Canis lupus familiaris: one gene and its partner. The protein of the gene in region 1 interacts with the protein of each later gene in a pairwise test. Links are inferred from orthologs where the notes say so. Each region holds a gene or a part of one and is shown on either strand. Other genes may lie near its edges. The genes, in order: TPR and NUP153.

Region 1 (4,513 bases):
AGTCTGAAAACCTACCTGATTTTAGGATCCCGTGATTCTGCGCACAGAATAGCTGCAGTTTCCACTTGGCGGATCACTGCTAGTGAGGCAAGGACACGGTATATGGATGGCACTACAACATACCAGCAACCTTCTTAACTCAAACAATCCTACAACATATTTTGGGCGAAAAACCCAACACATCCTTACTCAATATTCACAACAGGCCTGCTGCTGCGGGAGACTGCAGGGGAGAATGACTTGGGAATGCTTCATTGAAACAAGTTCTTTTCGGAAGGGGGATTACACATGAAATAATCTACAGATTCAGCTTCCAAGTCGCAGACTTCACCATCTGGAAACAAGCAGTCCTATTACGGGGGCCAGACGGTCAGCGGTTTTGAAGAATGTTTTAAAACTTTTGTCGCGACGCTTCTTCCATCTTAGAAATAGGAACACACGCTGGGAGCACTTTCTACGAGATTACCTCAAAACATAAAACCAGAGGTCACACTCAAAGTCCTCCCGGTTTCTTTAAATCCTCTCCCTGAAAAATCAAACAGGCTCCTTAAGCGCCTGTGGGTCCTGGTAGTGACCCCCCCCGCCCCGCCCCCCCCCCCCCCCAACACACACAAAAGGCACCAAAGGGCGCCGTTTCAAATAAAGCGTTTTGCGGTAACCGGACCTGTACCGGAGTGTCTGCCCGTACGTTTCCTACCCTCGGTCCCTTTCTTCCTTCAAAAGGAGGCTCTCCGAGCCCAAATGCACACACTCACTCCTCACGTGCACGCGTGACAGACACACACCTGTCGAACTGTGGTCCTCCGGAGATGGGGCTTTAAGGTGCACGTACAAGCCTCCAGGGGCCAGGCGCCCCTCGGGTCCAAAGTCCACAACCGATGAATTCATCAAAAAGCGACAGACTTCCCCCACCTCACTTCCCACGCCAAACCCAGGGTCTCCGGAGCCAGGCGGCGCAGCCTGATGACGCACACGGCCCCCCTTCCTTCACCGCGGCACCTCAGCCAAGGCGACTGCGGTCGCCACCCCGCCCCCTTCCGGGCGCCATTGAGAGCGTGGCGGTAGCCCGGGGCCTGCCGTCCAGCCCTGCCCGGACCGATGCCCTCTAGCGGCTCAGTGTCTAGAAGCCGCCAAAGAGGACGACCCATGGCATCCCGGAGCTTCGACGGTAAGGTCGCCTTGCTCTTCAGGGAGCGACGTGAGTGGACGGATACTCTGTGGCGCCACCTCGCGGACAGCTGCCAAGCAGCCGGACCGGGGCCGGGGGGGCGGGGGGAAAGGAGAGCCGTGGGGCGGGGAGAAAAGAGGAAGCGGAATGGGCGTTGCGCAGTCAGGCTCAGGGAAGGGATTGAGAAAAACACTACGTTTCCCACAAGCCCGCGGGGCTTGAGGCGGGTGGCCCGGGCGGGGTGTGTGTGTGTGGGGGGGGGCCGGAAACCGGGCAGGGGCAGAGGCCCCTCTGAACTCGGATTCCCAGGGTGCCCAGCTTCCGGCGGCTGCGCGCGCAGTCCGGGCGCGGGCGCTGTGGCGCGGCTGGTGCCGGCGCTGAGGCGGGACTCGGTTTCCCAGGGTCCCGCCGCGGGAGTCTCCGGCGGGCGGGCGCGCGCGAGCCTCGGAGCGAGGTGGCCGAGGCGGCCGCCCAGGCTTCTGGGTCCTCTTGGTCTTCGCCTTTCTTCTCCGCTTCTGCTCCGCCGGCGGCTGGCGCCGCGGCCACCGGCCCGATAGACATGGCGGCGGTGTTGCAGCAAGTCCTGGAGCGCACGGAACTGAACAAGCTGCCTAAGTCCGTCCAGAACAAACTTGAAAAGTTCCTTGCTGACCAGCAATCCGAGATCGATGGCCTGAAGGGGCGGCATGAGAAATTTAAGGTGGAGAGCGGTAAGTGGCGACGCTCTTCCCGCCCTGGATCCTGGGCCCGGCTCCGTAGCTGTGGCTGGTCTTCTCCCCTTGCGAGCTCGCTTTCTGCCTGCGACTCTCCCCGGTGGCATCGCCCCCCTGCTCCTTAGACACCCCACCCCACCCCACCCCACCCCCAGGCCTTCGCCTACCTGCTCTCACGGTTAGATAGAAAGCAGCCCTTTTGTTTGTTTGAAACCCATTTCACATTCAGTTCCGTTCTCTTTGTGGTCCGGGTGGTCTCCTGTAGGGTCCCTTGATGGTGTAGGGCGCACATCGGGGGTCTCTTTTCCTCCGCACTAGCGGGAGTCTGCGGCCCCTGTCTCTAACCTTAGAGTACCCGGTCTCTCTGTTGCTCTGCTGGTGATTTCCGCTCGGTTTTCTGGTCACCTGCATTCAGAGGCCTTTGTCTAATTGCACTGCTTCGTGCGCTAAGTTCTGTTCCTCAGTCCTTCGCGCTGGTCCGATTGCGAACTAGATGTTCACCTAAACGCGTACGTGCGGAAGACAGCGCTGGAAACCGTGAACGTAAAAGAGTTGGATATATCGGAATTCTCTCTACACGTTGGAGTTTAATAGAAAATATGTTAAGGCTTGTTTAGACGTACTTACAGGAGGCCCTTAAGAAAGGAAGTCGCCGACCATAGCGACGAGTATGTCCATGAAGAAGGATTAAGATCATAGCAGCTACCCTTACTGAAATATATAAACTCTTGTTATAATTTGCCCTGGTTTACCTGGGGTGATGCTGCTTTGGCTAAATTGATACAAAATTCTGAACCCTGTCATTTCAAAAACTTTAATTATCAAGCAGCATTGGATGTCGGAAAAATAATTCTTTGAATCCCAACACTGAAGATAGCACATACACTGGCTCCTGTTGATTTATTTATACATAAATATCGCTTGTCTCCTATGTGCTTGATACTGTGCTCAACAGGACACACTCAGTCCTTCTCTTGTACAGTTAACACATTTTTACATAAATTTAGTTATTTTATATCTTTAGGTATTTCAGTCTTTTAATACAACCTTTTAAAACAAAGCAGTTTTTAATCTAAATTTTTTCTCCATGTAATAAGGTTTCTTTGAACATGTGTCTGCTTTATACTAAAATGTCTGTTGATTTTTATGGGGAAAATACTAAGGTGAGTAAAGACTTGTTGCCTACCTTGAAGAATTGCAGTCTTATGGAAGAGAAGTTGTAAAATCCCCTCTAGGTCTCATTTTCTTTTGTCATAAACATGTGTCAGTTGGAAATGTTAAAGTCCTTTCAGTGCTCTATTTATCTTTACTCAAAATCTCTTATTTGGAGTGCAATTCAAATACTGTGTCTTTAAGTTTTAAAATCAACATTATTAAAAATAAATAGCAGTATTGACAGTGTGTGTACATGTATGTTTGATTTTATTTTTTCCTCTGCTTCTGAAGAACAACAGTACTTTGAGATAGAGAAGAGGTTGTCTCACAGTCAGGAGAGACTTGTGAATGAAACCCGAGAGTGCCAGAGCTTAAGGCTTGACCTAGAGAAGCTCAGTAAGTATTTTTACAACCTTATTTTATTCTTGTAGTATAGAGATTTTTAGACACTTTTGGATGCTTTGGAAACATTGACATACTGTTTATGAAAATACTGATTGTCACTGTTTTCATTTAAGGTAGTATTTGGAGTTTTCACTTGATGGTGAACATGAGAAACGTAAGGCTTAGTGGTCAGGAGTCCTGGGTTCTAATTCTGACTGCTATCAGAAGCTCTTTTGGCCATTTGTAAATCGTGATATATGAAATGGCTAGAACCACCTGTCCATGTGCTTACATAACTGTACAGATCAAATGAGATGTTTGAAAGCATTTTAAAGACGCATGAAGCATTATGCAACTGAAAATGTAATTAAGGACAGAGACTTAATTATTTTTTATGTTGTTGAAGATTAAAGCCTATATCTTCCTTATGTGTTTCTTATGAAAGATGAACAATTTCCTTTTTGAAAGATGAACAATTTTTATGAAAGATGAACAATTTCCTTTTTTTTTAAGATTTATTTATTTTTAAAGAGTGAGCACAAGGTGGGGTAGGGAGAGAATCTTATGCTGACGCTGTGCTGAGCCTAGACTCCGATTCAGGACTCGATCTCACGACCCTGAGAGCGTGACCTGAGCTAAAAGCAAGAGACAAATACTTAACAGACTATTCCACCCAGGTGTCCCGAGTAATTTTGTTTTTAATTAGTTTTCTCCTATCATTAAGTTCTAGAAGGTACACAAGATCTTAGTTAAGGTCCTAGCTTTTCTTGGGAAATGTGTATTATATGCTTTGGTTATGATAAGAGAACGCAAATGTCAAAAGATTGTTATAGAGTGAGGACATAATATTTGCTGTTAGATGTAGCTGGATTTTTAATTTGGGAACACAGGAAGCTAATAAGAGAATGGTTAACACTTCAGCCTTTTTTCTTAACTAGGTCTGTGCCCATCAGCTATTTAGGTCATAATTTTTTCCAGCTAATTTTGAAGCACTTAATTTTTAAAATATATGATACATGTGTACAGTGGTATATATACACACATGGAATGAGGGCATAAGTAATTTATTGAGTAGCTAGATCTGGTTCATCAT
Region 2 (3,815 bases), on another chromosome or scaffold:
TTAAGTACTGGTTCTGTTCACGCAGTTCTTTTGGTTCTTTGATGGTAAAGTTTTCTTTTTTAATGTTTGATAACAAATTTATTCACAAGATTTCAAACTCTAATTATGACAGGATTCACAGTGAAAAGTCTACCTCTTGTTCCCATTAGGTTCATTTTCCATCTTTCCTCCCCCACCAGAGGTAATAACTGGTTAGTTTCTTAAAACTCTTCCAAAGTTTCTTTATGCATATGACAAGCAAATATTTTCTTATTCTGTGTATTCTTCTTTCCCTCTGTTTTGTTAGAAAATGTTGTATATCATACTGCCTTTCTGCTCCCTTGATTTTTATTGTAGATTAGCTTGGACACATCTTTGTTCTTCATTCACAGCTGCCTGGGATTGCATGTGGCATTTTGCATGTTTGTGAGTTTATCTTCAAAATAAAGACTTAGGGGGAAAAAAAGTTAAGTAAAGACTTAGGATGTAAGGACAATCTTCTGGCTGGCTAGGCGGTGTCCCCTCCTCCCCTCACATCTCCACATACAACCCTTCCCAAGCTGTGTGCTCAAGGGTATACGAGTAGTTGTGCTTCCCTGCTAGGACCTCCAGACAAGCTATCAAGGTCCGTTTGTAGGAAAATATAGGACAGTAAAGCTTCCAAGGCTCCAGACACATCCAGATGAGGCCCTGCATGTGGCAGTCCGCCTTTCTTTTAAATAAATAAATACGTACGTACATACTTAGCTGTAGAATTGCTGGGTCAAAGGATACGTGTGTTTGTAATTTTTAGTAAATACTGACAGTTGCTTTCCTTGAATTTTGTACTAATTTACGCATCTACCTGTAATGTATAAAGTGTCTGTTAGTTCTAGACTCCTCACCAACACTGTTTTATCAAATTTGTTTGATCTTGGCCAGTGTCAGGATGAAAAGTGGTATGTCAGTATGTATAGTTGTGAGGACTAAGATGTGATTCTCCTGCTGAATTTTGGGCAGCTGGTTCATGTTTTATGGCCATTGCTGATAACTCTTCAAAGGCCTTTCCAGAGTTGTTATTCTTTTGTCTCTTTGTTTTTCAGGGGTACATTTTGTTTGAGAGGATAACATTAATTCGATGTCTTTTATATTTTGAAGGCTTTGGCACATCTTCCTCATCTTCAAACCCAGCAGCTTCATCCTTCAAATTTGGTATCCCATCATCCTCTTCTGGGCCTTCTCAGACTTTAACAAGCACTGGAAATTTTAAGTTTGGAGATCAGGGAGGCTTCAAAATAGGAGTGTCTTCAGATTCTGAGGCTCCAAACTCCATGAGTGAAGGCTTTAAATTTTCTAAACCAATAGGAGATTTTAAATTTGGAGTTTCGTCTGAGTCTAAACCTGAAGAAGCTAAAAAAGACAATAAGAATGATAATGATTTTAAATTTGGACTTTCTTCTGGTTTAAGTAATACAACTTCGTTAGCTCCATTTCAGTTTGGGGTGTCTAATCTTGGACAGCCAGAAAAGAAAGAGGAAACACCTAAATCTTCATCTGTAGGCTTCAGCTTTGGTACAGGTGTTATTAACTCCACACCTGCTGCTACTAACACCACAGTGACCTCCGAGAATAAGAGCAGCTTCAGCTTTGGAACCATAGAAACCAAGAGTGTTTCAGTGGCTCCTTTCACATGTAAGACGACAGAAGCAAAAAAAGAAGAAATGCCTGCCGCCAAAGGAGGGTTCACTTTCGGTGGTATAGAACCTGCCCCTCTGCCATCTGCCTCATTGTTTGTTTTGGGAAGGACAGAAGAGAAACAGCAGGAGCCAGTCACTTCTACTTCTCTGGTGTTTGGGAAGAAAGCTGACAGTGAAGAGCCAAAGTGTCAACCAGTGTTTTCCTTTGGGAATTCAGAGCAAACCAAAGATGAGAGTTCTTCAAAGTCCACCTTTAGTTTCAGTATGGCGAAACCATCTGAGAAGGAATCGGAGCAGCCAACAAAGGCCACTTTCACATTTGGAACTCCAACCAATACTACAGCTGGTAAGTGTTACAATTTTATTTTTGTTTTATTTTTATTTTACAAGGTGTCTCTAATATTTAGACAAATGGAGCAGGTGAGAGAATGGTTTACACTGAACATAGTTGAGAGAAACTGGTAACTTTTTGGAAAGGAGCATAGTGTTTTCAGTTTAACAGTCCCAAACCCCCACAGTGTGATGATGGTATCTACACACCTGATTTTGAGAAATACAGCTCTAGTGGAAAACCCACAGTGTTGCCCATTTGTCCATGTTTCTCTCTCCTGTGTGAGCTTTTACATTCGGAATTGGCATACTATTCAGGAAAATAGGCCTTCTTTCATGAGCTCCTGAAATATTTTCTAACTAAATCTTTACATACAGGCCTTCATTCCCAAATAGAGCTAACCAGTCATCATCAGGCGCATAGACATCAAATATATTAGTCCCTGAAACAGAGAGGTGATTACAAAAAGCAATATCCTGAAGGAAAAATGAAATCGCATTTTTAAAACTTAAAAAAATGGTTGGTGAAATAAAATCATTCTGTGGACTGAGCAGCTGAAAAAACATAGATGATAGTCGGATTAGTGAACTGAGATCTCTCAGTGTCAGTGCAGAAGTGCAGAGACTTGAATCAAGCTAGCTCACAAGTGCCATTGTAGGAGCAGTAGCTTAGAAGATGAGAACAGCATGGAAGAAATATCAAAGGAGTGACAGAAGAACATTTCCTACGTGCAGAGAAAGACTCTGGCCTTAAAATGGAAATTTTAAGGGGCCCACTCACTGGCAAATACCAGTGAGATTGTAGGACATCAAAGCCAAAATCCTGAATGCTTTCAGAGAGAGGAAAGCTGTTTGCCACAAATAAACAGGTGTTCTGATTAGCATCCGACTTTGAATTTGTAACATCACGTGCTTAAAATAGTAGAGCAGTGTCCTCAAAGTGAAAATGGTCTTAATTTTATAATCAGCCGAATTTGGTCAAATATAAGAGCAAGATATTTTCAGATAGGCCAAAAAAAAAAAAAAAAAATAGAACACCCACAAACACTTCTGAATAATATATTGGAAACAGGAAACAAAGAATTAACCTGGAAAAAAAAAAAAAAGAATGGAATTCAGTGGGTGGGAGGTCTTTCTGTTGTCTGTCTGGACATTCAAAATACACTTCAAAACCTAAGTAATGGATACAATTTGGAAGGTAATAAAAATAAGATCAGGTCTACTCACATATAATGGTGGTGTCACTATACTCTTTCCATTGAAACACACTCTTAACCTCCCATTAACTAACTTGAAAGTGAGCCAACATACTCCACTTTCTGTAAATCACGCTAACGCCGCCCATACCATATTATGAACAGCCCTGTCTAGAGACAGTATTATGGAACTGAAACATGATTGGGATGGTTAAAAAGATGTCTTCAGGTAGGTGAGTGGTTTCGGGCTCACTATATAAAAACCCGTAGCTTTCCTCTAAATCAGCAATAAATAGTTGGACAAATGTCATTTGTATCTTCTAACATTTCTGATTTGTATTTTATTGAAATACAAATTGAAAGAACATAAAAGACCTATTTAATACCTGTTCCTGAGGGAGAGCATTCTTCCCAACACCCCAGCATAATCTTGGTTTTTTTGTGTAGTTGAAGTGTGGTTGACATACATGTTGCATTAGTTTCAGGTGCACTGTAGTGATCACACAGCTGTGTGTTGTTTGTGCTGTGCTCACTGCAAGAGTAGCTCCCATCTGTCACCGTAGGATGCTAGTGCAGGACCATAGACTCGTTCCCTGTGCCCTCTTTGATCCTTGTGACCTAGTCCTTCCATAGC

The links.
Region 2: the proteins of TPR (region 1) and NUP153 interact in a two-hybrid assay, tested with the Homo sapiens proteins (3 studies listed by BioGRID, with this or other methods). The link is inferred for Canis lupus familiaris from reciprocal best matches to the Homo sapiens genes TPR and NUP153.

What each region holds. Positions count from the first base shown.
Region 1 is NC_049228.1:19,322,393-19,326,905, reverse strand, and holds the start of TPR (nucleoprotein TPR), read left to right. Parts: upstream 1-1,516; 5' UTR 1,517-1,727; coding exon 1,728-1,878; intron 1,879-3,327; coding exon 3,328-3,432; intron 3,433-4,513.
Region 2 is NC_049256.1:17,835,016-17,838,830, reverse strand, and holds part of NUP153 (nuclear pore complex protein Nup153), read left to right. Parts: intron 1-1,116; coding exon 1,117-2,001; intron 2,002-3,815. UniProt on the Homo sapiens protein: Component of the nuclear pore complex (NPC), a complex required for the trafficking across the nuclear envelope. Functions as a scaffolding element in the nuclear phase of the NPC essential for normal nucleocytoplasmic transport of proteins and mRNAs.